Linked DNA regions of Bombyx mori. The protein of the gene in region 2 purifies or fractionates together with the protein of the main gene of each other region. This does not show direct contact. Links are inferred from orthologs where the notes say so. Each region holds a gene or a part of one and is shown on either strand. Other genes may lie near its edges.

Region 1 (10,356 bases), on a different chromosome or scaffold from region 2:
ATATTTTGTTACTACCGTCTGTTTTTGAATAAAAGATTTTCTTGCCTTAAATTACATTATTGTGTAAAAATAATATAATATAATATTAAAATGCGGCAAATATCACACGATCTTAATCATGTATGATCAGAACTATGGCTCGATAAACAACTAATGTGATCTTTTATTACAATAATAATTACTTATTTTATTTCAACAATAAACATAATAATATACTTGTGTAGTTCAAGCGAAAAATTCACTATTTATTACAGATCAACTATAAAGATAGAGTTGATGATATGATTGTTATCGTAGATTGAGTTACGCTCAATTTGATTTCAAAAATTGTGGACGTAATCATTTCAAAAGAAAAAATCCTTAACATGAGCCTCATCCTTGGGCAAAGCTTCAAATGATATGGATGTTTTTTATAGTTATTGCTTTGATCATAGTTTGCAAAGTCGTAAATAATACTGAATTTCCTAGTTGTAGACTTATAAGAAATCAAAGTAGAATCGATTTGCAAACGACAAAACCGAATGTTTTAAATGCAGTTTTAAATTTTCCGCGCATTAGTTTACCGTTTTTGAAGCTTTCGTGATTTAAGCTTGTGACGAACTCGTAATGTCATTTTAATGAACAATATTTTAAATTATAAGCCTTATTTATCAATAAAATTTAAATTCTATGCTATTCGGGACATGTAAGCAATAAAAAAAAAAAAAATCTGTTAACCTCTGTCGGTGAACACGGCAAAGATAAACTAAAAATAGCGCTCGGATATTAATTTTCTCTACATGTGTCAAACAAAAGTAATAAATCTCTTTTCTGTGTACACTTTCCCATATGCCATATTTTAGTTTACTCTGATTTTAAGCTAGACTAGTTAGGATTTTGTACACAGGAGAAACTTATAACGCAGATTAAACCTGTAACACAGGATAAATTCTTAAATTTACTGACGTCGAATGTGTATCGTTTGTTTAATAACTCAATTAACTTTTACTACGTATTTTGAACAGCCGTGGCATGAACTAGTTCGATTAGTAAAAGTGTATGGGCGCGAACGGCCATGACCGCTATTAATATTATAAAGGATGTAAGCTGTGGGGCAATGACATTCCAATATAATTAAGGTTCGAAATACCGCCTCAAGGGCATTGAGACGTAATGTCCGACATAAACAAAACTGTAACCAACCTTAAATCATGTATTTAAGGTTTTTTTTACCCTACCTAAGCTGGTAAGCCTTGAGAGGCTATGCCAGCGTAATCGAACGAGTAGGTGAGCTCTCGCGGCGCAAACCTGACGACGTTGCTAACACTAGCCCTAGCAAGAGCAGTGCTTCGCTGAATCTACCACCGGATCGGAAATGCGACTCACTGAGAAAATCAGACTATAAACTCAGTGGGCTGTGTCTATAGGTTAATTTACTCACTGAACCCTGAGTCGCAAGCTTCGACGTGAACGGTGACCGGTGCTTGAGGTAATTGCATAGATTTGAACCATTTCGTCTGATGTTCAGTAGTCAAACAGTTGAAAGTCTCCTACCAACTGGAGGAATGAGGTCGCTCTGTGTTACTAACGCACTGAACTAAACGAGTCCGCCCAACCTAGTTTCGTTTCAAACTTTCACAAAACTAATAGAATTACAATTTTTCCGTGCATTATACCAAGTTCCGGACAACGCCCGATCTAGAATAAATTAAACCGACTGACCTCGATGTAATGTATCGAATAAAGTTAATAAAAAACAAAAGGTTTAGCTTTAAAATACATATATTATGTATAATACTTTTACTTTTTAACTATGATTGACTCGATAGTACAGTAGTTAGCGACCTCTAACTGTTGCGCCGATGATCGTGGGTTCAATTCCCGCATCGGGCAAACAAAATTTTGATAAACATGTTTGTTTGCTCTTTGTCTGGATGATTATTATCTATATGTATATGTATTTATTTAAACGTAAATATGTATGTCAGCCTCTGATACCCATAACACAGGGAATACTAATTTGGGACCGGACGACCGTGCGTAATTTGTTCCCAGTTATTTATTTGATTACTAGAGGTCCCGCAGTAGTCGAAATTCGACTATAATCAATTGGAATTGTAAGTTTGTACACTATTATGATTGTATTTTAAACTTCTATAATCGCAAATTTCGCCAAGACTACACTATAAAAAATATTAACAAAGACAAACAATGTTTAATCTATTCTCAATTTGACCACAGACGTCAAGAACAAAAGTTTGACAATAAATAGTATGACGCATGCGTGTGTGCGTCAAATACATGGTATGTAGTGTGTGTGATGTTTTTTTTATTGATTTAATGTATCTTTTATGCATTATTTAAAAAAAATATTAGCATTGTGTACTTCTTCTCTATATTCTCTATAAGTGTGGAAAATTTCATACTCCTCCGTCCGCGGAATTTTCGTAAAAAGGGATACAAAGTTTTTGCTTCACGTATTAATATATAGATAACTCATTATGATAACCAAATATAGACCTTTTTTAATTTCACACGTTTTTTTTCATTAAACTATTTTTTGACAACCAATGCGATGTGGTTACTGTAGCCCATAGATACCGCAATTGTGATAGTGTGTTTTTAATGCTCTCGATAGCGTAAAAGTGAACTTAAATTTGTATGGAGTTGGAACGTTTGCCTAAGTTTGCCGGTAGGGGCGCTGTTCCAACTCCATACTTTGAGTTAACTTTTACGCTATCGAGAACGTTAAAAAACTCGCACTAAGCACACAGAACACAATCTCTCAATTCGATAACGAGATCACAATAGTATTCTATACGAAAACCAAACGTACCTGAAGCTAATAAAACGCAATTTTGCATGGTCATTTTTTCCCCCCTACCTATTCGCTGGCAGCCTAAGGGGCTATTCCAACTACAATCGGACGGATGGGTGAGCTCATGGACTCAACCTAAGAGAATTTGCTAACACTAGACCTAGCAAGGGGAGTGCTTCGCAGAATCTATCCCCGGATCGAAATCGCGACCCACTTAGAATACCCGGCGCGAAACTCACTGGACTGCATATTCGTCAGAAATCTAACGCCGTTTTGATCGGGAGTATCTATTGTTAAATAGAATTACCTGTCGCAAAGAAGGTTTCGTCTTTCATCCGATCTATATGGGTACAGTTTGTTGTGTGCCTCGCGCTGCACTTTGGCTAGGTAAACCTGAAATATTTGAAACACTATAAAACTTTTGACTTATTGAAATTAACACGAATTAAATCCTAAATTCTCGGACGACTTCCCTGTCGTCAATTCATTTAACTTTCCTTACTTAATAAATTAAGCGAAAGTGGCCATATTCATATAATTTTATTTTGAAATTAGTTCAATATGAACGGCTAGTTCAATAATCTTTGATATTAAATTTCACACTCTGGCGTTTCATTACAATGTATTCGCTTACTAAGAGGGACTTACTGGTGGTAGGACCTCTTGTGAGTCCGCGCGGGTAGGTACCACCACCCTGCCTATTTCTGCCGTGAAGCAGCAATGCGTTTCGGCTTGAAGGGTAGGGCAGCCGTTGTAACTATACTTGAGACCTTAGAACTTATATCTCAAGATGGGTGGCGCATTTACGTTTTAGATGTCTATGGGCTCCAGTAACCACTTAACACAAGGTGGGCTGTGAGCTCGTCCACCCATCTAAACAATAAAAAAAAAAGACAAGATCTAAAAGCTTTGTCCGTACCTTGGAACCTTCGAACAGGAGTGCCACAAAGAACAGCGCGATCCAGGTTAGGGCGAACGCCCACCGCGTGCTGATGATTAGGCCGGAGAACAGGAAGTCTCCGAGGTCGTAACCGAACCACATCCACATGTGCATCTTAGCGGTTTTTCTCTAGAGTAATCAGTGAGAGGTGTTCACTTTTTTTAAAGTTGTTTCCGCCGTAGCTTTACAGCGTAGCCTACACTTTATATCGCCGAAGCGGAGACCCTTGCTGGGTATCAGAATGAAAGATAGCCAGGGTTCAAATTAAGTACTAATATTAAGAAAAAAAAAGACTCACAAACCCTAAGAAATAAAGTGGGTGTTTTTTTTTACCTAAGCAGATTGCCTTGAGAAGCTATTTCACGGGGCTCAAACCGGAATGATGCTAACACATGCCTAGCAAGAGCAATGCTTCGCAGAATCGGAAACGCGACCCACTGAAAAGATCCGGCGAGAAACTCAGTGGGCTGTGTCTATGGATCAATTCGCTCGTCGAGCCCTTCGTCGCAAGCGACGGGTTCGACGAGGACGGTGACCGGCGCTTGTGGTATCTAAAAGCACCGTTAATTGATCGGGAGGATCCGTAATGAGTGGGTGTACTATGATGATGATGATGATGGATGGGAAAATGGTATTTGAAAGCCAACTTCATATTTTTTACTATAGTCGAACAGTAATTTATTCTAACTTCATTCTACTCAACTGGTGAAGCAGTGAACAGCAACCCTGACTGCTGGTCATGGCTCGATTCACACTTTGAGCAAACATTCATGTGATGAACAATTTTGTTGTCTGGGTCACTGGGTGTTGATACACATTTTTAATTTATATATTATATTGATATAATTATACATCAGTTTTCGATATCCATAGTACATAATTGGAAATCATATTTTGAGACTGATGAATTTGTGAGATTTTAAAGAAATAATGATAAAATTCATTTAAAACAGAAGAAGTATCTCAGAAAATTTTGAAGCTTTATTGTTTGTTTGATTTGTATTAGAACACACTACTCAGTTCTTTAATAGAGCTCTATAAGTTTTGCGTGTTTCTTGTTCTAAATTCTTATAATTTAATAAAATTTCTAAATAAATAAGATACCTTAAATCTAAGATGCAATTAGACATAAAGCACCCAGTTCTTCAAATGTTTACTTAAGTAAATATGTACATCAGAGTTGTATATTTCAATGTCAATGTAAATTTACCCTTTAAATAAGCAAATCAGACTCTAGCGGCTATTGCGTGTGTGTGCACAGATAGCAAATCCAAAATAATTCAAATCAGATTTTTTTTTAAAAAGGTTATCTATTTTACTTAAATCAATATGAGGATTTTTTATTATTATTTTTAAGTACCATAGGAGAAATATGGGTAATATTTTCACTTAATAGCAAATTTTGTTTAAAAATACTGAATCACACTAAAATCACTTACAGTAGTTCTCAAGCAGCTGAATGATAGTATTAAGCCTTGTATTATACTATTTTTAGTTTATAGAATCTAATTTAAAACAATACTGGGAACAATGGACAGTTATCTTTCATAAAATGTTGACCAAATTTTGTATACTAATCACAGGCCATTGTGATTGATATGATTCATGTGATTGTCTTGTCAATTCTTCAGTTTGAATTTATTTTTAATACAGCCATAGGTAAACATGGATGCATTCAGTTTACCAATAGTCTTTAACATCAGCAATATTTGCAGAACTTAGAATAAACCATTTATTGCATGTCAGCAGAGTTTCCTAGCACTCTCCTAGCTGTTTCAGCCACTATCAACATAATGTGAGGAGAGGATAGAGTGGCTATTCTTCCAATGCTATGAAGTCATTCAGAATCAGGATTTTTAAATTAACCAAGATTATAAAATGGAATGCCATGATTTTTTGGTTAATAAAGACTAAGAAAACCACCAATTACAAAACAAAACAAAAATTGGGGCCACTCTTACATAAACTCATACTGGGTGATTTGAGTATTGTATATTTATGGATTGATTTTTAAATTCCAGTATGTTTATACTTAAATTTTAAATAGTTTATTTTTATATTGAATGTGAAAATTATGTTTATAGTAGCGCTCAATGTTTTAAAATTTAAACTAATATATGTGTAATATGAACTGGGATGTACCATTTGGGTCCTTTGTGTTATATTCTATTTTAGGCTTCAACTTCTCAATATATACTAGTTTTTAAAGTAGGGCTTTATGTTTTGCTTTATATATTTTATAATCGTATTTCTATGAATAAATTAGAGCCTGTTAAGCTAAATCTTCATAAGTAAATATTATCAAATAGGAGAAATTCTAGTGGATCTGGTGAAGTGAATATTTGTTGGTTTAATTACATAATTAAGAAATAATTATTCACATTAGTCATTACTTTGTAAGTAGGAAAAATCCTTAATGTTCTTAATTCACAATTTTATTAAGTGAAGCACTAGTATAGTTTAGCGGTGGGCAGCGGCTTGAATCTGCCCCTGGCATTTCTGAAGTCCATGGGCGACGGTAACCACTCACCATCAGGTGGGCCGTATGCTCGTCTGCCTACAAGGGCAATAAAAATAAAACTAGTATAGAACATTGTAACTAAAATAAGACTGGCATATGAATACCAAGTTTTTGTAAGTTTAAAAAAAAAAAAATTATGCATTTTTGTTTAAGCGCTTTAAAATACAGGTATCAATAAGGACTCTAGTTCATTACATTCAAAATAATTTTAAATATGATTCAGTGTTCGTAGCACTTACCTACTACTTATCAATTAAACTGTATTGTCCACTTCAAATTGCTGCGTTCCATTTCTATTTACCAAATGCAATTTTCATATCGTTCGACACCAACAACGTTATCTAACTCATTGATAATTTTAAAAATAAAAGTAAATAACTTTATCATAACAGGCGCGCTCTTATCTTTTGAAACTTAATTTTTTTCACCCACTTTTGGGTCAGCTACAAATATTGCATCTGACTATAAATTATGATTTTAAATTGTATACCAAATTAAAGCCTAACTGACGAGTCTGAGAGCAATTTCTAATTAATACAAAATACAAATCATACAAATGAATTGTCAAATAGACAAGTCTGTTAATAAATACTAGACTAAAATACTATGGATCATTATGGATGTGTGTACCTAGTACGCAAGTATTGTCTAGTACTATACTACTGATCCGTTAATGTATATCCTGGATCTTAATAGTTTTATTAAATAATATCATGTCCAACGCTTAAACGACGCCAGTCCAATCCGTAATAACTTTGTAGGCTTATAGTTTCGGACAGATATTGTCCAGCCGAGCGGAACAGATAAATCAAACAAACAAAACCAAAGCTTTTCGAATTATTCTGAATAGTTGAAGAACCGTTTCGAAATAAACAATTCGGCTTAATATTTCCACGTGAGTTCATTCATACTTTAGTCTATATATGAAAACTATTCAGCAGTAGGCGAGCTGTATCCCATCTACTGATATAGATTTTAAAATTGCTTCAGCATAAGGCAATCAAAAATAAAACGGTTACAACTTGATGATTTCATAATTAAATCATTATGGTTACCGGAATTGTGGATTAAAAGACTTAAGATTTACTGACGTGTCCGACGGACTGAGGAACTAGTAAATAAAGCTTAACCTTGAGAGACGACTAACCAGACCGCCATTAATAATGCACAGGGTAAATAATAGTACCAGAATATGTTGAGGAAATCAGTTCAGTCTATTCCATTTACATAATCTATGCATGTCTAGGACCCAATCCAATTTAAAAAAAATCTAATACTAACCATAGATTTAGACACGTAACCTACTCCCAACCTGAGTTCTGAGTTTCTGAGTGAAATGAAATTGACATCTGACTTTTGCTAACATGAAAGAAAAAGCATTGTGTGAATTAACGTTGTAGGTACTTATTAACTCCATGGAATTAACATAATATATTAAGTGTATTATCTACGGTTCATGGAACAGACAAGGCTTATGGGCTTAGATCCTTTTGCCTTTCCTAATAAGGAAAAATTGTACCAAAAAAAATAACTATGGTTCTGATCTGAAATAAAAATAACAATTTTATGAATAAAATGGAAACAAACGTGAAGCCTCCTAAAAAAAAACCTACAACAATAGAAGACCTCACGAAAGAACAAATTCAACAAGCGATAATTAAGAAACGAGAGTGTAACTCAAAAGCGCAACATATAGTTGAAAGTTTTCTAGAAAATAGCATAAACGAAGTTTATTTCCTCAAATGCTTACCAGACCTAAACCAGTCTCATTTCGAAGATGTTATTGAAGAACGATCAATCATAAGTCTATGTGGTTACCCGCTCTGCTCGAACACATTATCCAAGAAAGACATACCGAAGCAAAAATACCGAATCTCCATGAAAACGAACAAAGTATATGATATTACAGTTAGAAAAAGCTTTTGCAGTAATAGTTGTTATAAATCTGCCATGCACATTAAAAAGCAGATGCTAACAAGCCCGCTTTGGTTTAGAGAATATGAGATAATCCCACAATTTAATTTATTACCAATGAATTCGGCAGATGGTTGCATGGGACAGGAGATTGATGTGTCAATAATTGACAGAGTGAAAGTAGAACTTGAAAACAAGCCTTTCGTAGTTACCAATGGTTTTGTAAAAGCTACTCTTAGAGATATGGCATCAAATAATGGTAAAGATGATGTATATAATAAAGCTACTGAGGAGCAAAATGAACAAAACTTTAAATTAAGTACAGAAAGTACTGAACTGGATGAAAAAGAAATGAAGCATAAAGACAGCGTAAATAAAGCATCAGAAGGGAAATCCTATATCTTAAATTCAGAATCAAATTCTGTTCAAACACAAAAGTATCTACAGGAAAAATCTTGTCCTGTATCAGTGAAGTCTGAAAATACTGATAAAATGAAAAAAGCAGTATACAATCCAATGAACATTGTCGGAGATATCATAGAAAAACCTGAGAAGAAAATTGATTTGACTTTACTAAGTGCAAAGGATGAACAAAATAACGCAAGCTCATCTCTATCTCAAGAAAAAAAGAAAGAGAAAAAGCCATTAGTGACTGTATTAATTGTAGAAGTGGAAAAATGTCTAGCAGAATGGTTTACTTTAGACACATTAATTTTTCTCTATGGCGAAGAGAAAGTGAGAGAAATGGTATCAGATAAAGAAGACAGTGTGAAAGAATATCTGAAAAATTTTACAAAAGGTACATTCTACAATTCCACAGCCTATGATCAATACCAAGCTTTATGCAGAAAACTTAATATGCTCGAATTAGAAGACAAACGTTATGATGCCAAAACAATGCAAAGGGAAATGAAACCGCTGCCAGATTACACTATACTACAGGAAGAAAGCAAGAAAATACAATTGAAAGTAAAGGCGTTTTTTGCTGGTCAAACTGAAATACCTGAACCAGAGCCTGAAGAAAAGAACACACAATCAGATGAGAACTTCACAGCTTTGCCATTAGTAGACAAGAATTCTCAAAATGCATTACGTAGACGAATAGTCTGTCAACATTTAAATAAGACCCTACCGGACATCTTGAGGTGCCTAGGTTTATTAAGTTTGGCCATAAGCACAGAGGTGCGTCTTTTGGTAAACACATTCAAATTGAAAGCAAATAATATAATGTTTAAGCCGATTCAGTGGACTATGATTACCATAATATTTATAAAACTTCTATCATTAAGAGATGTACACTTGGCACACTTATTGGAGCAACCAATGGCATACCAACATATTCAGTTGTTACTCTTGAGTTACAAACAAGATAATGGCTATTTAGATAGACTAATATTTTGGCTGACCGATGTTGATAGATTATTGAATACAAACAGTCACTGTGCTATAGAATGATTGTATGCATAATCTTACTGTAACATTAATGTAACTTGTGATATTTTAGATTGTAAATACTTGTTTTGTTCAAAACACTTTTTTTTAATTCAAAATATTGTTGTTTTAGTTTCATGGAATATAAACTTGCCAGAGTAATATTTATCAATAAACTCGCAAAATTTTTATTGCATTGATAATGCAGAAGCTCACAACTCAGCCAGTATAAAAAAAGGGTTCGTGTACTTATGTACGCTCGTAAGAAGTTATACTTTATTTTTATTAAATTTATTCCCTTTTTTTTTAGATATTAAATAATTAATAATAAATATTTAACGTTAATAATTTAATAATATTTAGTATGAATTATATTAAATAATAATTTTGTCATTTATATTACAAAAAATAATGCTGATAACACTTCTTTTTACGAGTGTACATGCGCGAAAGTTCACCTGCGGCTATATTCAGACCCGCCAAATTACGTCGGTAGATTTAGTGGGCAACTTCATTCTGTTAATTTTGTGTCACGGTGCGCGCGCATCGTAAAATTTCACTCTCATCAATTTTTCATAACGCGCCTAAAGAAGTATATATAACTTCAACAGTTACTGGACCCCATAAACATTACAAATTTAGATGCCATTGTGCTACTTGAGTCATGAGATTCTAGCAATAAAAACCTGGATATACTAATTTTGCTAAGTTTTAATATTTTTTCTCTACTTATTTGAATTAGTTTCTTTTACC
Region 2 (10,883 bases):
GTCAATCGTAAACATTTGATAAGTACGTATTTCATTAGAAAAATTGATACCCGCCGGCGGGATTAGAACACCGGTGCATTGCAAGATACGAATACACCGGACGCCTTAACCTTTAGGCCAGGACGGTCTCAAAATTACACTTATACACGAAGAAATATTAAATACGCATTAACTAAGAAACAATAAATAGACAAAATAAAACAATTCACACAATTTAGCTCCTCGCGGTCCCTCCAAAATGTCTTTTAATTTTTTTTTCCTAGTTGTTCAATTGTAAATGAATAAATCAAAATCAAATCGAGTTTACGTTCTATACGGTGAAAAATTAAGAATTGTGAGTGTGAGTTGAGATATGCTACTCGCTTCGCAGGGCGTTTATTCACCGAGAGCAGCAATAATATTATTTCTCGTATATTGGTAGCACGTGATGTTTTGGCATTAGACCGTCTAAATGAAATACAACGCATTTTAACAGCATTTTAATGGGAACCTACTACTTTCAAAATTATTCGGGTAATGTCACGTGTTCAATACTATTTTGTACCTTTAGAATTAAAGTGGCTCAACCCAAAATTCTTAGTTTCTGGTAAACTTCAATATTGTAATAGAATAATTGTATTTTTTAAGTTTTTCGGTTTAAAAACTTTAAGGCATGCCATTTTATTTGAAAAAGACAGAAAGAGTACTTTGTCCTTTTCTAGACTAAAAGAGACTGTTTAATTTTATAAGCTGATAGAATAATATAGAAAAGAATAATAGGATACCCTCTAATCGTCACATTGGAAAAAGGTATGGCTTTATCATTTTATCATAAAATTTTATTTTTATTGCACTTATAAAACTAATTTAATTTACAACATGTAAATACATATATCTATAACTAATCCGTACTTGTCAAATTCCTCATAAATTGTCAATATTCTTAATAAAATTCCTATTAATAATATACAAGTGCAAATGTTGAGCTGCTTGCCAGAAATGATATAATAGTGTTTTGTTTTTTTGTTGTTTCCTTGTAGGCTGCCTGTAATAATCTAAATCTGTGTGAAAGGCAATAAATGATTTTATTATTATCTACTAATGGTAGTCCAGTGGTCGAAATTTGACCATAATTTATTTAAATTTTAAGTTTGAACATTATTATAGTTCTATTGTCACCTTTCTATTATCATCATTTCTATAATAATCATTGCTCTATGTCGCCAAGGCTACATTATAGAAAAATAATATTAAAGACAAAAAATATTAATCTATTCTCAATTTGACCACAGATTGATAAATCAATAAACAAAAAAAGTATAAATGCATGTGTGTGTGTGTGTGTCAAATACATGGTAATGTGTGTAAGGTTTTTTTATTCATTTAGTTAATTTTTTTATTGTTTATGCACAATTAAAAAAAAAAAATTAGCAATCTGCACTACTTCTCTATATTCTCTATAAGTGTGGGAAATTTCATACTTCTCCGTCCGCGCAATTTTCGTTAAAAGGAGTACAACATTTTTGCTTCACGTATTACCTACTTAAAATGTAGGTTCTTAATAATAATACATAAGTGTTTTGAAATATAAAACTAATCTTAAATTTTTTAGTTATACCACTTCCATTCTAAGGGTACAATTTCGTAAACAAACTTTGCCGTAATGGCGTAACCTTTAAAATACACGAAAACTGCCCAGCATAAACATATTTTTTTAGTAACTTTAATAGAAGTATTAGAATTAGAAGTTTGTTATAGAATTTATTTAATTGTAATTACATATTTAGACATACTTAACATAATTAATCTTGGAATAGGTAATTATTTCAGCTTTTTTTAATTAAAGAAATTATGTTTTACATAGGTTTAATCATTTACCCGTTGAACGTTTATAAAATGATTGTATTTACGGTAATAGTATGATAATATGATCTTCATTAGGTGGCCCAAATATACTAAAATTATTACGAGCATCCATCCTTATTTATAAATGTGTAAAGAAGCAAAATTATTATTACATTGTTCAAATTTCTATATAATTTAAAAATATAAATCTGTACGTATGTACCTGTAAATATGTATATTGCGCGCGCGCGTGCGTGTGTGTATGTGTGTGTGTGTGTGTGTGTGTGTGTGGGTGTGTGTGTGTGTGTGTGCGTGTGTGCGTGCGGGTGTGTATATATATTTCTATAATAGATAGGTACACAGTGTGCAATTCATTTCGAAATTATTCTTGCCCATCTAATGGTTGTCTGGAAGAGATCACTCTTAGCGATAAGACCAAGAATGTTTCGCAATATTTATTCATTTTGTGTACAATAAAGAATACTCTATCTCACTCTCTCTCTCTCATCAAACATCTCTTTAAAAAAAAGCAATGATTTAATAAGAATTAAATGAAAAAGCAAAGAATTAATATGTATTTACAACTAGCTAGACGTCTATAAAATTTTCTAACCGAAAAAATATATGTGTATAAACCATTAGAATAGATAAAACCTTCAAAAACAACATTATTATTAAAAACGAAAGAAAAAATCTTGATATTATATTGCTTTCACGGCAAAAATTTTAGTGACTACTTAACTTGCTTGAAAGTGAAGAAATACTCTCAAAATCCATTAATTTGCAACTCGCACTCGCACATACAATAATCGAGAGGCTCACTTCGGTAAAGCTATTTGATACATGAGACAGCAACATAAACAAACCTTCTCTCTCCCACAAAATGAGATTCATAAGCTTACCACTAGGTGGCACTGATACAACCTCACACAAAATAAACATAACATTAACATCGACTGAGTAATTAAAAAAACTTGCACTAAGCACAGGTACATTACCCATTACCCGACTAATTATAAATATCGTTAGAAAGCTTGGCATTTCAATTAAACGCCTTAAAAAAAACCTTGCGTGCTACCAATATAAAAGAAAAAAATATCGCTTTTCAAAATGAATAAACGTCCTGCAAATCAAGTAACTCGCACTCAGAGCTCCGCACGTTTCACCGTGAAGAGCGTACACTCGATGCGAGTCATTCGATTCGATTTTTGAAACTCGCACTAAGCCTACGGACGTCTTATAGTTTAAGCCAGGACGACTTAAACAAAAAAAAAAGCCTAAGCATTTGTTTCAATAAGAATGTTTGATTTTTTTACTGCTTCAAAGTTTGAATGAGCTCATGCTTTCTTGTTTAGTGGATTTTTTAAAGATTGTATGACCTGTTACCGAGACCTTTTGTTGGACGGTTAAATTTGAGAGGACTGGGTTCTGTAGGTGAGGGGCTATTTAAAAACACTCTGCTTCATGGTTAATATATAACACCATTACAATATTTTATTTTATAAAACCCTAAGATGTTGCATAGTCCGTGTCTAGAAGAGAAGCCATTGTCCTCACTCAAGAGAAGACTCATCTGTTTTAAATATTTAAATAAGCATTTCAATATTCGAAAACTGTAACCTTACATGTGTCAAGTGTTACCTGCCATTACTTACATATTCAAACTCCAACACCATTGGACCAGTTTTAAAGTGTTTTCAAAGCTCATAGACATCACAATTCATTTTCCATACAAAATTATCACGGAAGCTCCAAGTGCTTATGTGTCAGAACTATAATAGACTATTTCAACTAATTCAAAACAAGTCTATTTTAATTAGACAGTTGCTATTTTAATTTGAGAATTGCTAGTATTTAATTTAAATATAAATTTCTTGAGAACCAACAAAACCATGTACCTATTGTTATGATTTTCTTTAAATAACAATATTAGAGTCTGTGGGAGTTACAAAGCTAGTGTTGCAACAGGACTTTTTGGCGGGAACGTGAGGAGTGAAGTTGTGTGATTTGTTTTATTTTGTCTATTTAGTGTTTCTTCGGGTTTAAATGTGTAATAATGGTGGTTTATTAAGTGTTTAATATCTGTGAAAGTGCGCAAATGTGGAAAAATGAAACAAAGCCGCTGGACGTAACTTCTCGGGATCCTCCAAAAAGTCCACTGAAAAAATCTTAGTAAATGACCACCATTTTACTGAGATTATATTTCATCCCATTTCATTTCATTTAATTTCATCCCGTTGATTAATATCTCAAATTAGTCGTCTTCATTATTTCACTCCATAATATTATTTTTCATAAAAATTGAATATAAATTAAAATAAGACATGACTTAAAGGTCTCAGTTCCCTTAAAAAAAAAGTGTTGCAACATTGTTCCTACTTTTATTTTTTAGAGTTGTCAAAAGCTTGGGAGTAGGGAAGGTCTTTTTAATTTTTTGTGATTTTGTTTAGAGTATTTAATTTATTTAAGTTCGTTTCGTAGATAATGGTCATCCAAGATGATGTCTGATCAGTTTAGGAAAGTAGAACCATATTCGCCAAAATCGTCGCCGAGGGGTGCGAGGTCACCAGTCGTCTCTCGCCAAGATTCTTCTGGTACACTCAAAACTACTATATCCTTAGGCAAAAACCCGTCTATAGTGCACAGCGGACCATTCTATTTGATGAAAGAACCCCCGGGTCAGTATCTCCAACTCTTTAACATTCTCTTCTCAAATTCTTAAATAATTATATTCAGGAAGTGACTTCGACGATTTCTTTTACAGGAGAATGTGAACTGACAGGCGCTACAAATTTAATGGCCTACTATGGACTTGTACATTCTTACAGTAAGTTTAATGGCAAAAAGCTGAAGGAATCCCTATCATCTTTCCTTCCGAACCTGCCGGGCATCGTTGACGGACCTGGGCAGGACGATAACAGTACTCTAAGTTCAGTTATAGCTAAGAGACCAATTGGTGGTAAAGAATTACTGCCATTAACTAGTGCTCAGTTGGCAGGTTTTCGATTACACCCTGGCCCACTTCCTGAGCAGTACAGATATGTGAGTGCAACACCACCAAAGCGACATAAAAGCAAACATAAGAAACATAAGCATAAAGATGGTGCACCTCCTGGGCAAGAGACACCTTTACAAGGTAAGAACTCAGAACTCAACAACATTGATTTAATAGATTTAGCTATGTCCCAAGCTTGTAGACAATATTACAAATTAGCCACCTGTAGATGCTATTTAGGTCTAGGTGAGTCTTCCAGGCACTTTGACTACATTAATCTAGTTAAGACAGTATTTGAATTGCAGTGTAATTGTACTCTGCATTTTACATTTTGTGGTACTAACCCGTGCGGGCTCAGAAGACACCCTATCAATTATTTTTAGTGAGTCTGTTTACAACACTGTCCTTCACTGTGGAAGTCAATTGTGAACATTTGTCAAGTACATATTTCATAAGGAAAAATGGTACTTATCTGCGGGATTCCAACACTAACACAGTCGCATCACTCAATATGAATGCACCAGGCGTCTTATTCTTTAGGCCACAATGATTTCATTTAACTTTAGATGTCAAGTGATACTTTTTAAATTGCTTTATAAGTTATATTATTTATACTCCATTTTTGTCTTGAGTTTTAATATAAAACATATCTATTATTCTAGATTCATCAAATCCAGACACATATGAGAAAAAGCATAAGAAGCAAAAACGTCATGACGATGAGAAAGAACGAAAGAAGAGAAAAAAAGAGAAAAAGAGAAAAAAGCAAAAACACAGCCCTGAGCATGGAGGCCTTACACCAAACCAACATCCATTACCGTAAATATAAGTGTACAAGTAGGTTTAAGTCGAATAATGAGCCCAAAGAGAGTATTGTACTAAAGATGACTAAAAATTAGTAATTCATTGTGTTCTAGTGATATTCCATTACTAGTGAAATGTACCTCTACACTTTGTTGTGCATATGACTAAATGTATGAACGGCACTCATTTGTTGAAACTACACGTGCTATCTATCATAAGTTGATTGTAATACGATGGAATGTTGTTAACATTTCATTAAAGTGGAAAGTTTTCCTCAATTGGTTGAATGGTATAATAACACAAGAAGAATAACATACAATTGGTTGTGGCCTAAAGGATAAGACGTCTGGTGCATTCGTGTTAAGCGATGCACTGGTGTTCGAATCCCAGGCAAGTACCAATTCTTTTAATGAAATACATACTTGACAAATGTTCACGATTGACATCCACAGTGAAGGAATAACATTGTAATAAAAGTCAAACCTGCAAAATTATAATTTGCGTCATTACTGGTGGTAGGACCTCTTGTGAGTCCGCATGAGTAGCTACTACCAGCCCGCCTATTTCTGCCGAAGTAATAAGTTTCGGTTTGAAGAATGGGGCAGCTGTTGTAACTATACTTGAGACCATTGCATTTATGTTACATCCACCCATCTAAGCAATAAAATAAAAAAAAGAGTAGATTTATCTGAATCTATATTTCTTCATTATTCAATGGGGTGTATATGTCCATAAAATGAAGAAAAAACGAAGTTTTTTATCACATTTTAAACCATAATAAGAAAAATGAGGTTTGCAAGACTTTTGTTTTTATGAAATACCTAAAATTGCTAGTCAGGCAATGTTTTAAACTTATAGCTAATTTATTATCTTTACTTCATAGTAATTACTTTTGATTCTGAACTTAAGATTTCTAGTAACTTCTACTTGGCTTTCAACAGGTTCGATTGCATGGTAGATTTAATAAGATTTTGTTATGCTAAGTTACCTAATAGAGTTAAAATGCCATGATGGCAAGCAACATTGTGTTAAGTTGACCACTTTGAAAGAATAATCACATCATTCTCAAATGTTTCTAATGCAAACATTAGGAATTTATTAAAAAATATTACTAATTAAGAATTAAATTTCTGAGCGAATTGCCCACAGAGTGACATTAAAACAAAAATATTGTTACTGTTGAATTCCATGAGGTCTCTTCCATCTCTTTGGGCTCGACTCAAAGTAATGTATTTAATTAATATTTAAGAATTTGTTATAAGAAAATCGTTCTGTTTACCAAGTTAAGCTAAATTTAATGTTTTTTTTTATTATTATTTAGAATACAATAAAACACACCTGTGTAGGTAGCTGCAGACGAAAAAATATTGCAGAAATCTCTAAAATTTTCTGAAGCAAATTTTAGGAATAAATGAAATTGAAATTTTAAGAATTACATATTTAGTGGTAGGACTATGTTCTTTAAAATTTGCTTCGGCATCAATATAATGTCCTGTTAACCTGATAGTGTAATTGATAATTTTGTTTTCTTTTTACCACCCTTATAGAAATAAAATTTGATAGAAAGACATTATTTAAATTTTTGGTTTTATTTATCTTTAAGCATTTAAGGCTGGAATGACCTCTACAGTAAACAGTTGAGCGCCATTTTATTTTCTGTTTCTGTCCTTTTTTTGTTCAGTAACCATTGATAAGATCTAGATTACAAAAAAATATGGTACCGTACCTAATGGTTTTTCTTTAAATGTCCCTTTACTAAGTGGTTGTTAAGAGTTTTTTGTTTGTGTAGCAGTTATTGACGAACTTTACTATACACTAAAAGCTCCTTATTCGCGGGGCAAGCGTTCCGTGAACATGGAAAAGTACTTTTACAAAGGATATTATGTTGGATACCTACATATTCTAATCCTTTTTATCAATGTGTATGTATCGATTAAATCCACGAATAAAGAAATCTTTAGCAGCGAACATAGGAATTGGGTCGCATATTTTTAATCTGCGGATAAGGAACCTGTACTATTAATGTTTTTTAATGCATTTATATTGTACCTACGAATCTGCACCGACGCGTGATTAGTGCTTAGGTAAGGTATTATTTTAACTTATATGATGCAGTTTATTAAATCTCTGCCACTTTTGCCAAAAAATTATATAGTTATTTATTTATTTATTATACCAACTCAGTATTTAGTGTATTCGAAAAGAAAAATATGGAGGAACCACTTCAGCTTCAATTATTATGCTTTAAACCAACATTATCTTTGAATTAAAATTACTTTCTGTTTACATTTCATTTCTACCTATTAAATTATTTGAATTATTAAATTATTATTATTGATTTAAATATTATAAATATGTAAATTATTTAAAAAATATATAAATATTATAGATTCATATGGATTACTCGAGTAAACTTGAAGTTGTCGTGGCCTAAAGGATAAGACGTCCGGTGCATTCGTGTGTAGTGATGCACCGGTGTTCGAATCCCGCAGGCGGGTACCAATTTTTCTAATGAAATATGTACTCAACAAATGAGTCGTCTATTATCAAAGGTGGCAATCTGTGTATTTGGACAAAAAAATGTTAATGATATGTCAATACAGATTGATTTGAATATAATCGTCTCCTTAAAAGAATACGGTTCAAAACCTGCATTAAATAAAGGTTAATACTTAACCTGTTATTTATCTAAGATGTCGTTCAGAAGAGTTTTGCGACTGCCAATGGAATACAAAGTCAATAATTCGTTTTTCTGGTTTACCAATAATTGTCCAAAAGTCACATTGCCGGCTTTGATAATAGACCGACTCAAATGTTCACGATTGACTTCCACGGTGAAGGAATAACATCGTGTAATAAAAATCAAACCTGCAAAATTATAATTTGCGTAATTACTGGTGGTGGACCTGGTGGACCACTTGTGAGTCCGCGCGGATAAGTACCACCGCCCTGCCTATTTCTGCCGTGATTTCGGTTTGAAGGGTGGAGCAGCCGTTGTAACTATACTGAGACTTTGGAACTTGTATCTCAGGATGGGTGGCGCGTCTACGTTGTAGATGTCTATGGGCTTCAGTAACCACTTAACACCAGGTGGGCTGTGAGCTCGTCCACCCACCTAAGCAATAAAAAAAGACAAGATGGTGCTCCTTACCTATACCCTCCATGCGGAAGCCTAAAAAAATATTATGAAACTGCCAATTCCAGATTCAATTTCTGTTGTGCTTGGAATTAGTTGGAATCAATAAAATAGGATTTATTTTCAAAATCGGCCACAATAAGTATTGTATATTATGCATTCAATAATGATAGCCGGGTTATAACGTCTTGGTTGGATTCAAAATTGTTTATTAACGATAATACTTATGAAGACTCAACAAAATGAAAATCAAACTTCTTACTTCCATTTCACATTGTACGCATAGTGGGACTTAACGAAAACGTGATTTAAAAAATTGTTATTAACACCAACGTGAAATGACTTCTAGCTTCGTAGTATAAAGTTATGACAGTAGATGTTATTATTTTATCACACATCCCCTCCCCTCCACGGTGTTTCCCGAGCGCTATGACATGTCCTTCTTCAAACGAGGCTTGTGGAGAATATTAAGCGATAAGCAGCGGCTTGGCTCTGCCCTTGGTATGCTGAAGTCCATGAGCGACGGTAACCACTCACCATCAGGTGGGCCGTATGCTCGTCTGCCTACAAAGGCAATAAAAAAAAAACATTAAAAAAACTCAAACAAAAAAAAAACAAATGATTCCACAGCATACTTTATTTTAAAATAATTCAAAATTTATACATATATCTGTTCGCTTCGGAGACAATTGGTCAATCCTAAATTAAACAACAAAAAAAAAAAACGTAATAAATTAGTAATGCGCAGCACCATAATACATACAACTTTACAAATAATATTCGTACTTAAAAAATAAGACTACACATTATGTTCACGAGGTGGGCAACACCAAAATTTATAATGATTATACCACTTTAACTTTGACACTTATATGATGGGGCTGTAAAATAAATTAAGTTTTAATTTTTAAGTGATATCGCTTAATGTCGTTTAAATTTTATCTGAGATAATCTACATTTACGTAATATACACAATCGTTCACTTTGAAATTAATATTTATTTAAATCGTGTAAACATTAGTACCAACTGACTATCTTATTATTCTTAATCTATTAAAACGGAGATGCAAAAGGTTAATCTTTCATCGATTGTTTTGAATACCAAATCAAAACGTTATAAAAAAAAAAAAAATATTTTTACAATAACTACGATACACAACGTCTATAACCTCGCAATAGAATGCTTTACTCACATACACTTACTCTTACGTCTGTCGCGCATGGCACATACGTCACTGAGAATATCCTATTAAAAGGACAATCAGCCAAACTTAATTGCAAATTACAAATTTAAAAAAAAATCATTAGGGTTGGCCAGTAACACTATTTCATTTGAACCATTAAATACGTACTCAAGTTTTTCATACATCAATAATATTTACTGTAGTAGAATTATTTTGTCCGTGCAGTTTGGGTCATAAAGAATCGGAGCGGTGCAGCGAGTATTTCGCTCTCTCTTCCACTCACGAGCCTTATGGACGGGCATAGTGATGCGCATTATTGTTGTCGATAAGCGTTATCGATAATGTATTTAGTTTTGTCCTTTTGTGGGTTAGTGATAAAAATGAAAGAAAAAATCACTAATCGAACACTTACACCACATATCGCCGCAGCAAGTTAACGAGAACGGCAGACATTAACACTTTGTAACTTTTTGGGAACTATTCTCATTTCAGTGAAAGTTTTTAACACATTGTTGATAATAACACGTGCTTGTACTGGTATATTTTTGCCAACAAGCAAAATATTTGGATAAATTCTGCCGTTTTGGTACAAAACAAAGGAGTAGCCATTATGTTACTAAAGAAATTTAGAGAGTGAATGCACAAAATCACATTTCTCTTCAACATATGTACTATAATTTGCAGGTAGGAACAACAAACGACTCATAACATAACAATGTCTCACCACCCTTCGTATACCACCCAGCCGCCGTGTATGATGACTCATTTGTTTTTATCGATAATGGCGTTGCGCCCGCGCAACATGCTCACCGCCCTAGCCGGGCTATCTTTTATGACCCAAACTGCACGGACAAAATGATTCTACTATAGTCGTGTCCGAAAAATCACCAAAAATAACTTGATTTTTGTTTGAAAGCTTTACCGTAATTTCCTACTACAA
Region 3 (10,880 bases), on a different chromosome or scaffold from region 2:
TTTATGTTTTTTTCTACAAAACTACTAACAATATCGAATCTCATAAAAAACAGGCAAACAAAACAATAATCATACAAAAACACAACACGAGTAAATGTTTAAAAGTATATTTTACCTTCTGGATTTCGAAAAGCGGCCATGAAACAAACAAAGTACTAAGATTAGATTTTATTATTACTGGCATACACGGGATCCCTGGTTTATTGTTCTATCTACTAGCTATAAGGGGCACTATGTGAATGGTACCGCCCATTTTGAGACACGGAATGGTCCTCTCTATTGTATCGCATTAAAACTAGAACTTCTCGAACGGGAACGCATATTTGTTTTGCGCCAGAAGTAGGCATAATGGTGTCACTTCCCTGTGCAGTTTCACAAAACACCGCAACACTAGTATGGTTGCTTGCTGGTTATTTAACACTGCACGGGTAATTTTCAGAGTATACTGAGATAGCTTCCTTAAGTCGTATTTTATAACGCCCATGGAAAATATGGTAATTCTTGACTTTTTGCATTTTAATTTGATCTCAAGGTTACCAATTCCATGGTGAAATCAAACGTTCAAAAGATATTTAGTCATTATACATAGATCATTAGGTATATTATTTCACTACTGTATGCACATAAAATTTCCTGTTTTTTTTTTATTTACCTGATTTTAATTTATTTGGTAATATTATTGTAACCATAATTGAATACTACTGCAAGCAACAGAATCTTAGATAACTAAAGTTTATTTTTTAATGGCAACTTTTAAAATTGTATGGATTATCAATTTATGATTTATCAACTTAATGATACTTTATAAGTCTCTAATTACAGTTGAGATCAAACGCTCAGTGTATTCACGGCTTTTAGTTGTTGTGAAAGTCTTAATTATTAACATGTCTGTCCGTTTTTAACTGTACATGAGACAATTGCTTTTCAATCTCTTAATCATACCACCAACGGAGGTTATAAAGGAAATGTAGTCATACTAAACACATAATGTGTCATTAACTGTCATAAAATTAGCTCAGAGTGGGATGCGGGAATAGACATTCATGAAAATGACCTTCACGCAATATTGTGATAAAACAGACTAATTTATTATTACAATTAAATTGAAATTTTGCATAAATACCTGTTTCTTTTCCATTTTCGCTTTTATGTCCCTGGCTAAAGTGTAAAATGCATATTCAACATTTAACGAGTCTTTTGCTGATGTCTCCACAAATTTTATCTGATATTCTATGGCTAATTGTTCACCTCGCTCCTTTGATACCTGTACAATACATTGAGAACCATAATTATATTAGCACAAATAAGCGATGTTATGTTCTTATTAGTATCATAAATGAATTTGTAGAAATGATTATGTTTACTCAGTTATAATCATTAACATAAGAATTTTAAATCAACTCTATTTGAGTCGACTATTATCAAAGGCGGCAATCTGACTTTTGGACAATGATTGGTAAATCAGAAAAACGAATTATTGACTTTGTATTCCATTGGCAGTCACAAAACTCTTCGGAACGACATCTTAGATAAATAACAGGTTAACTATTAACCTTTATTTAATGCAGGTTTTGAACCGTATTCTTTGAAGGAGACGATTATATTCAAATAAATCTGTATTGACATATCAATAAAAAATTTTTGTCCAAATGTACAGATTGCCGCCTTTGATAATAGACGACTCATTTATCCACCTGTCTTTGAGAATCTAAGTCACACTTATTTCCAAGTATCATTTTCTCAACATCAGCACTGGCATTCTCTTCAATGTTCCTAATCCAATTCTTAATGTTTTCAAAGCTCTTCTCATTCGTAACATCGTAGACAAGCATAATTCCCATAGAACCACGGTAGTATGCTGTTGTTATTGTACGGAATCTCTCTTGACCAGCAGTATCCCTAAAATGATATAGAAATTGACTTAATGTTTTGATTCTGTTAGGCAGATAACATTTGAACCAAAATTACATAAATATGGTGAGTAAATGAACGTTGAGATTTAATTACACATCAATCAAGCAGCAACAATCTATTGACAGTGTATTAGAAAATTCAACCAAAATTCTCATTTAATTGTGTGAAAAAATGAAGCTGTTAAAATATTATTGTTAACTAATGTTACTGTACTATTATATGTTGCATCATTTATTTCATTAGTTGGATCAACTCATACAAGATTCAGACAACTCATACACACTTAATACATGCATGCATATTGAACAAAACATACTCTTAAAACAATTATTCATAAAGTTGTCATGAAATATTAATAAAGACTATTTATTTATGAAAAGCCTATTATATACTATATCAACTTTGACAAATTCCCAAAAAACTTTTAGGAATTTATGTTAAGATTGAATTATTATGTTCTTCTTTCTTTGCAAGCTGACAAAAAAACTTAAAAGCCAGTCCTGTAAGTTACCAGAGCAAATAGAAATCAAAACATGAATAATGTTTGAATGATGTCCCACCATTCAAAAAAGAAAGCATGACTTCTTTGTGTCAAAAGTAGGCTTTTACTTTTATGGTGGTATTAGCCTTGGTGGGTTCAACAATATGATTTACCACTAGTATTATTTTTCACCATTCTTCATTGTATTACTTTGTGATACACTAAATTTAAATAAGTACTAATTTAAAAAATGGTAATTTACAATTTAAATTTTGTATTATTGTAATACAATAATCCAGTGATTCAAATTAATTACCAAAAAAAATAATGTAAGAAGATTAAATATGCAATGTGAGACAAACTATAATGTACATTAATTCATTGATTATTACTTACATACTGATAATGAACATGTAAAATATAATTTTAATACATAAATCTACAGTAAAAATAACAATGAAACAACTTTTAAATTTCTTTAATCCAAATATGATAATCTTTTGTTAAAGAATAAAACTCACCATATTTGTAATTTAACTTTTTTGCCATCAAGGTCTATTGTTCGAATTTTAAAGTCGATACCTGGAAACAAAAACCCATTGAAACTGGAGGGACTAATTAAAATTAGTGAGTATGATGTCATTAATTCTAGTGTCCTTTAAATTAATAAGGGTTTCGTTATAAAGGCCGCGCCCTGATCATCATGTATTTAAAAAATGAAACAATGAATAGGAAACAAAAAACACTTCCATTACCTACAATAAGTGTACAAAAAAATTCTTCACTGACACTTTTGATCTGAAGAAACCACTTACCAATTGTGGATATAAAGGAGATGTTAAATGCATCTTCAGAAAATCTAAATAGTATTGATGTTTTTCCCACTCCCGAATCTCCGATTAGAAGTAATTTGAATAAACAATCGTAAGTTTTTGCCATTTTTACAACAATCTGATTACGCTAATACACATAGCCTGCCATTCATTTGGCATTTTTCAATCTCCACTAGTGATGTGAAACGAATTTTAATTTTCTATAGTAAATTAGTCACATGAGATACTGATTTTTTTAATAATAGTTAAATTGAAAAAATAAACATTTATTTACATAAATTATGTAAAAAATATTTGTAACTTAAATTTATTTATATGAACTATAAATAAGGAAGTTTGTTTATGATTATAAGTAATTGATATTTGATTTTTTTTTAATTTTTTGTGCTAGGTGAAAAGTGTTGATTATGTGTTTATTTATGATTTGGTATTTTTAGCAACTACTTCTAATTTATGACTAAACGAAAATATCGAGAGGTCGTTGCTCGTTTGTTAATAATGCAATCCACGTTACTAGTACAACAATAACAAAATTTGCATTTAGCCGTTTAAGTTACATTCCTTCTGCCTGTCCAATGCTCAAATTAAAGGAAAAATAATGACATTGACTGTTGACATGACTCAATTTTCAATTTGGTTTAAAATTTAAAATTAGCATGCAGTGTTGAGAGTTGATGCTGTTTATGTATATTACTAAAAAATAACAATAAAACAAATCTAATTGAATGGAATACTAATCGTAATTTGTCCACCGCTGAAAAATGTTCTACCACGTATGATATTTTATTTTCCTGTTTCACTCTGTTTAAAATGAACGCCAATGCATTCGTTTTGTAAATAAAACTTTTCAGATTTCATTGGAGCACGAAATTTTGTTACATCCGAAATATTTCGGTCCACAACTATTGGAGACAGTCAAACAGAAGCTATACACTGATGTGGAAGGCACCTGTACTGGCAAGTAAGTCGGTATTAATTGGCCGTAGGCCCACTGAGTTATGTTCGAACAAGACCTAGCGACTTGATTGCGATGTGAGTAACGCTTCGCTAATTTCCACATTATATTTATTTCTGTAACTATGGAGTGTATAAAATACTTTTCATCTTTAATATCGGAAATAAATACTGGAATGAACTGTCTTCCCTGCAGCTGCTGCTCAGAAGTCGCACTCTACTCACAAGTGTTACATGAATAGAAAATAAGGTCTGAAATAGGCTTAAACAGGAACTGACAGTAACTTTTGCTTTTTATATTTATTATTCTAGATCTGGGATGCCCAAACTATTTCCATAGCCCATAGCAAAATCACTTTTACAAAACCCTTTCTCTAGTTTTTTTCCTATTAATACAAAACACTTACCAATTTTAAAATTTGCTAAACTGATCCCGTTAGCAATCATCTAAGCAATAAAAAAAAAAAACATTAGGAAACCTGGCTCTAGATAAATTATTTCATGATTTATGGAACAATTGTTAAAAAGTGGTTATCTGAGCCCATAACAATTATAATATCAATGTATAATTATTATAGCAACATCAATGTATAATATCACTTAATGATAAATTGAGTTGATATCTCAATGGCATTCCAAACTCCTTTACCACACTTCAAACTGGAATGAAGGATTGCTTTGTGGCAAAAATAAACTAGAGGGTGGTTGGTATTCACTGAAAAAAGCTCAAATATTGCCTTACTGCCATTACATATTTAACTAACTGTTCTCTGAATTTATTGTGCAATTTGTGAACAAAATACAGTGAAAAGCAAAACATTTTTAGATATGGATTTGTCATCGCGGTAACTCAAATAGACAATATCGGAGCTGGTCTCATACAACATGGACAAGGGTTTGTCATGTACCCTGTTAAATACAAAGCTGTTGTGTTCAGACCATTCAAAGGAGAAGTTTTAGATGGTATTGTCACACAAGTAAACAAGGTGACTTAAACTATTAAAATTATGCTTAATGTTATTTCGGGTGAGTTGGAATCTTTTCTGAAGTAAGATAGTAGAACTGGTAATTCCTAACAAAGTGAAATTAATCACAAATAGAAACTTACAAAATAACAAATATTATAAGTTAGTTTTATTATATTGCGGTTATATTTTCAGAAAAAGTTTCCTTCACCCTGTAATTAATCTAGAGTATGCTGTTTTAGTACCACCATTTATAAATCAACAGTTTACTTTAGTAACACCTACCCCCTATTTATACGGTACCTATTATACTTGATTTTGGCTTTTTCACATTATGTAAATTTATGAAAATGTATACATTGGTTGCATATTAACATTATTGGGTCTCATTAATTTGGCAACACTGATGCAATAATGTACTAGTCTCTGTATTGTGGTATGTCACATGCATTAAGTGAATTATATACCTTTAATATGTAACCAAACAGAAAGTAGATCATGAAAAAGCAATTGAAAAAAATATTAGTGCTGTAGTAGTAGCGGAAGTTTATTTTACATGCTTTCAAATAGCACAAATAAAGATTTTATTTTACACTGTTTTGTAACTGATATATCTTCAGTATAAATAGGGGATAGGTGTATACTAAAATGTCTCTTTTATTAAGTAAAATAAATCAAATTTAATTTAAAGAGCCACTTACAAGGTTTTCCGCCCATAATTTTTTTAATACCGTTGTTGTCAGGCCCTCTTACAACTTATCTGATGGCAAGTAGTAACTATCGTTCATGTCAGTAATGCCAAGGGCACAGCCACATCAAGTCGTAATTAAAATTGTAAATTTACTATGTTTAATGTTTTTAGGTTGGCATGTTTGCGCAAATAGGACCTCTCAAATGTTTTATATCCCATCATGTGAGTATTCAGAGTGAATTATATAATTAAGCTTAAATTATTTTAAAATTATCAAGAGTATTCCTTCCTAAAAATATTGAGCCCCTCAGCCCATCTACCAATTACACCCGTTTGGTGAAAGATCTTCCCTTTGTCTTATACTACCAAATAATATTTTATAACCCAGAAAGGTTTACAAATTTTTGTACCATAAAATGAAATTATAAAAATATTTTTATTTTACAGTCAATACCAGACTATATGGAGTTCTGTCCTAATGTAAATCCTCCATGTTATAAGAGTAAACAAGAGGATAGCGTAATACAAGAAGAGGATGTGATCCGATTAAAGATTGTTGGTACGAGGGTTGACGCGAGTGGCATTGTAAGACATTGTTTTAATAATTATGTTTAAAATATCCATGATGGAATATTTGTATATAAGTATATAGTAGAAAACTAATCAGTCCTCCATTTACTTTCAACATAAGTTGGTCGTGCAATAAAAAAATAATAAAATAGTCACAATTGCTATTAAGTCATGTGTTATATTGTAAGGTGTCACAGATTCTGCTTTGAAAAAAAAAACAATCTTTTTGTTTTTATTACTGACATTTATTTTTGAAAAGGTGCAAAAAAAGTTTGAAATGAAATTTATTTAATTCAAAAGCTAAACATAATGTCGAATTCTGGACAATTTTTTCATAGTTTTCCCTAAATGTATATTGTAAATCACAAGAGTTCTACATTATTACTATCAGTGTTGCCAATCGACATCAAAAATATTTTTAACGATAAGCATATGCGAATACGCACTAATAGACACATTTCTATTAAATTTCAAAGTTTCGTACATAAATTTATAATCAATGTAAAACAGGTATGTAATGTCTAAAATAATAATATTTAATATTAGATCATTAACAAAATGTCGAAAATTTTGTTTTACAGTTTGCAATCGGGACTTTAATTGGAGACTATTTGGGATTAGTACCACAATAACTTGAAATTTATGTAACACAATTACAGAACACGTTATGCGAAGGATTGAACTACCACGCCTCAATTTTTAACGTTAGGAATATTCATAGTCTTAAGAATTAAATGAGTACAATGAAATAAAACGATATTTTCATACTTTTTTCTTTTATTTGGCATTCAAAAAAATAATCGAATTATCTATTATAAAAAACCTTCAAAACATACACAATAACAAAAACATACATAAAAACGAAGTTCAATATTTGGACACTCAGTCTATTTGGGCAGTGTTCATGGTGGTTTGAAATAATAATAAAAATTGATACATTATTAAGATTTACAATTGAGCGTTTGACTGTATGAGTAACCATATAAGGAAAATAGAATAACAAAATTATAGAAATTGAATACAGTATATCGAACAGAGGATTTCCAAAGTTGAAAAAATTAGAACTATGATTACATTGAATCACAAACTGTCATAACTCTAGTAAGTAAGCAGGAAAAGCTAATTTGCCACTTTCGCATTATTTCAGATTATTATAATATTTTTTCAAAGTCAATCAGTAAATTTTTCATAACTATATAAATAATCACTTATGTATAATAATCGAATAATCAATATCGAATATAATCGATAATTGTATTTAGTTAAATCGATAATAAAATATTATCGAAAGTGTTAATGTCTTTGGTGTACCAATTGCCTATGTACAAATTTATATTTTAATTGTATTCTACTAGTCGCCTATGAGACGAAATAACTGATATTTTTTGCGAGACTGATATTTTTTTTATTTTTTATTGCTTAGATGTGTGGACGAGCTCACAGCCCACCTGGTGTTAAGTGGTTACTGGAGCCCATAGACATCTATAAAAGATAAATCTATTTGTATGGTTGTTATGGTTAGCCATAACGCTGCTGGTATTTGTTATAGGGTTTTTTCACAAGAGACACCAGTTATTCCATTTAATTGCGAATCGGCTGTGCAAATATTAGTATAACTAATGAAATAGTGAATTGAATACTACGTATTATTCGTATGGCATCTAACGAAAATAATACTCAGTTTTGAGATCAGACACAAGCCTATATATCTGTGTCAAATAAAGCACCAAATGAATTTGCATGTAAATATAGAATGCATCAATTAAGAAAATCAGAGTACATACAATTATATTGGACTAAAATGGTTTTAGGTTTAAAAGCAATTATTATTCTCACTATACAATAATAAACTATTCAAATTACATAATTTCAGAGATTACCTTATTGCCAGTCGTCGTTTATATTGATTGATTTAAAATTGATCAATACCAATTACCTAGGTACACAGTAATACGATTTTTTGTCAATATGAAACAAGTCATTCGGAGTAGACCCGAAAAAATATTTGTTAAAATAAATATCAGGACTTAGAACATACACAAATCTATTACATAAAAACACATTTTGAATTTAATTTAAAGTTCAATTCAATTCAATTCAAAAACAAACTTTTATTGAAGCCTAATGTAATTTACCTAATGTTCACTTAACTTACCTTTCAAGTACAGTATTTATTTTTCTTTTCTAACCTCACACTTTATTTTATCATAATATAATATATTTTTTTATAATATTAAATATATTCAACCCGAGTGGGTCGATCATATCCTATGATCGAATCATAAATATCTAATTGTTTTCTACAATAAATATTTGAGATATAACATTGTGCATAAAACACGATTATATTTTATAAGAGTCGATCGTTTTAAAACAATGAATATTTATTTTGCATTTACAATAAAATTTGCACACAAATGATCACTGAAAAAGCTTACATGTCTGTTGGAAAATATATGTGTTCTGCAAGATGAAACTGCATTGTTGTGTGCCAACAAGTTAGGGAAATCTTATTATTTCCATCAACAATTTCGACTTGTAGAAAACACACATAATTCAACATATTTCAGCTTTATACAAGGCACGAAACAAGATGGGAACTATTATAGAATTTAAAGCAATTCATCTTATTGAACAACGACATTTATACATGTTTGTAATCGAAACATTTTCAAAAGTAAATCCACAATGTCACATTCAATTAGTACTATGTATATCGTTGGGAGCATTGATAATAATGAAAAAACAAGAGATCGTTTAGTTCACTTCAGTAAACTATTTAAATACTTATTTTCTCTTAATATTTTTATTTCTGGGGCTTCAAATAGTCATAGGGTAAAAATTATGGGAATTTGTGACACACACCAAATTTTTGAAGTGTATAATTTAATTAGAATACTTAAATCGAATACGCACTATTTAAGATGTAGTTAGTATAGTGGGTCAGGCTCAGCTAAACACCAAGTTATCGATATTATTTTGTATAGTTTAGTATCATTCGATACATTCATTACAATATCGATGTTTTAAAAAGAAATACCATAGATCAAGGGGAACGGATAACCCTAATGATGAAGTAATCGATATCACGGAACATCTCTATCTAAAAACATCAAAATTTCTTAACAGTAACAACATTAATGATATCGAATAACATCTATAATACCGGAATATATTTTGTGTCTTAAATTGAAAAAAATGTTGTAAAACTTCGAGACGAGCATCCACCGATGGCTTTATTTGATAGGTTTTTCTGTATTTCGGCAAACGAACCATGAATGCTGAATCGTATGACAACGACCACGCCATTTATAATTGGAACACAACTGTTTCGCGGAAGTAATAAGACGATGGTTCCCACTTAAGTGGGGATCCTCCTAGTACGACCAGTTCACATGCCACATAGATTACTACAATATTCAAGTCAATATTTTACCCATTTTTTCCTGTTTAAAATCACAATCTACTACAAGAAATCTACAAGAAGGGAATATAACGATTAATTTTAAATGTTAAAACCACAGAACTATTTATTATATATATTATTATTCGTGTAGATTGCTTCCCCGTGGCATGGCAAATTAAATCGTCCATTGCTGCACACCAAACCGAACACCACTTCTATTAATCCACCTGATTTATTATTCGAGTCGATGTATATAATTTTTTTAGCAAACACAAAGCCCAATAAAACGTTTAGTTTAAATCACGATCGTATGATCGTATTACATTTTTAAAATAATCACTTGCAGCCGGTCCTAGCGTTAGTCTTTTGTATTATCGGAGTTTATAATTGAGCGAATGGTTTATTTATTACAACTGTATAATCTAAGAACAACCATTCTTCGAATACCATTATTAATATAAACCAGAAATTTGCCTAGTATAAATATTTTAACAAAGCTTCACAGTAAAGCGTAAATCGCAGTGACAGCTTAGTCGAGATTGCCATATCTATAGTTTCATACAAAACGTATTTATTAGGTGTTTCCGAAAATTTATAATTTCAATTCGTTTTTAAATTTAAATTTCATGAAACACCTATTTACGCTCAACGTTCTATAACTTCGTTTATGGCCAACTATCTTTCGAGTTCAAACAAAGCAACTGACATTTTCACTGCACATTAACATCACTACAAACGAAATATGACTATTTAAGTATCCTATATCGATAACGAATTCAAATCGAAAAAAAATATCGATTTTTGATTGACTTAAATCAAACGAGATGACGTCACGTTTCGTAAAGCTAGTGCGTTACGTAAGATTTGTCGACGTCATCGTTTTAGCGGAGACCGATACCGGCTAACATAGACAAGCTTAGTTTCCAAAAACGCTCGGGTGTGTGCGGTGGCGCGCCAGTCGTCGTTCAGGTGCGGCGTCGAGCGGTGGTGTCGCGGTGTCGCGGCGGCGCGGCGCTCAGCGCACGTGGAAGCACTGGCACTAGGCGGGCGCGGGTCACGAAGCGGG

The links.
Region 1: the proteins of mediator of RNA polymerase II transcription subunit 19 (region 2) and putative RNA polymerase II subunit B1 CTD phosphatase RPAP2 purify together in Homo sapiens (affinity purification with mass spectrometry; 3 studies listed by BioGRID and IntAct, with this or other methods). This does not show direct contact. The link is inferred for Bombyx mori from reciprocal best matches to the Homo sapiens genes MED19 and RPAP2.
Region 3: the proteins of mediator of RNA polymerase II transcription subunit 19 (region 2) and DNA-directed RNA polymerase II subunit RPB7 purify together in Homo sapiens (affinity purification with mass spectrometry; 3 studies listed by BioGRID and IntAct, with this or other methods). This does not show direct contact. The link is inferred for Bombyx mori from reciprocal best matches to the Homo sapiens genes MED19 and POLR2G.

What each region holds. Positions count from the first base shown.
Region 1 is NC_085121.1:1,513,504-1,523,859, forward strand, and holds putative RNA polymerase II subunit B1 CTD phosphatase RPAP2, read left to right. Parts: upstream 1-7,824; coding exon 7,825-9,627; 3' UTR 9,628-9,779; downstream 9,780-10,356. Other genes in the region: uncharacterized protein LOC101736188, read right to left, coding at 3,105-3,190, 3,717-3,866, 7,540-7,542.
Region 2 is NC_085116.1:16,048,847-16,059,729, reverse strand, and holds mediator of RNA polymerase II transcription subunit 19, read left to right. Parts: upstream 1-3,796; 5' UTR 3,797-4,321; coding exon 4,322-4,502; intron 4,503-4,588; coding exon 4,589-4,960; intron 4,961-5,481; coding exon 5,482-5,642; 3' UTR 5,643-7,202; downstream 7,203-10,883. UniProt on the Homo sapiens protein: Component of the Mediator complex, a coactivator involved in the regulated transcription of nearly all RNA polymerase II-dependent genes.
Region 3 is NC_085131.1:4,003,310-4,014,189, forward strand, and holds DNA-directed RNA polymerase II subunit RPB7, read left to right. Parts: upstream 1-3,830; 5' UTR 3,831-3,989; coding exon 3,990-4,001; intron 4,002-4,079; coding exon 4,080-4,189; intron 4,190-5,008; coding exon 5,009-5,168; intron 5,169-6,009; coding exon 6,010-6,060; intron 6,061-6,285; coding exon 6,286-6,423; intron 6,424-6,989; coding exon 6,990-7,040; 3' UTR 7,041-7,175; downstream 7,176-10,880. Other genes in the region: small GTP binding protein RAB8, read right to left, coding at 1,124-1,264, 1,695-1,899, 2,917-2,977, 3,211-3,334; myosin-I heavy chain, read right to left, coding at 10,869-10,880. UniProt on the Homo sapiens protein: Core component of RNA polymerase II (Pol II), a DNA-dependent RNA polymerase which synthesizes mRNA precursors and many functional non-coding RNAs using the four ribonucleoside triphosphates as substrates.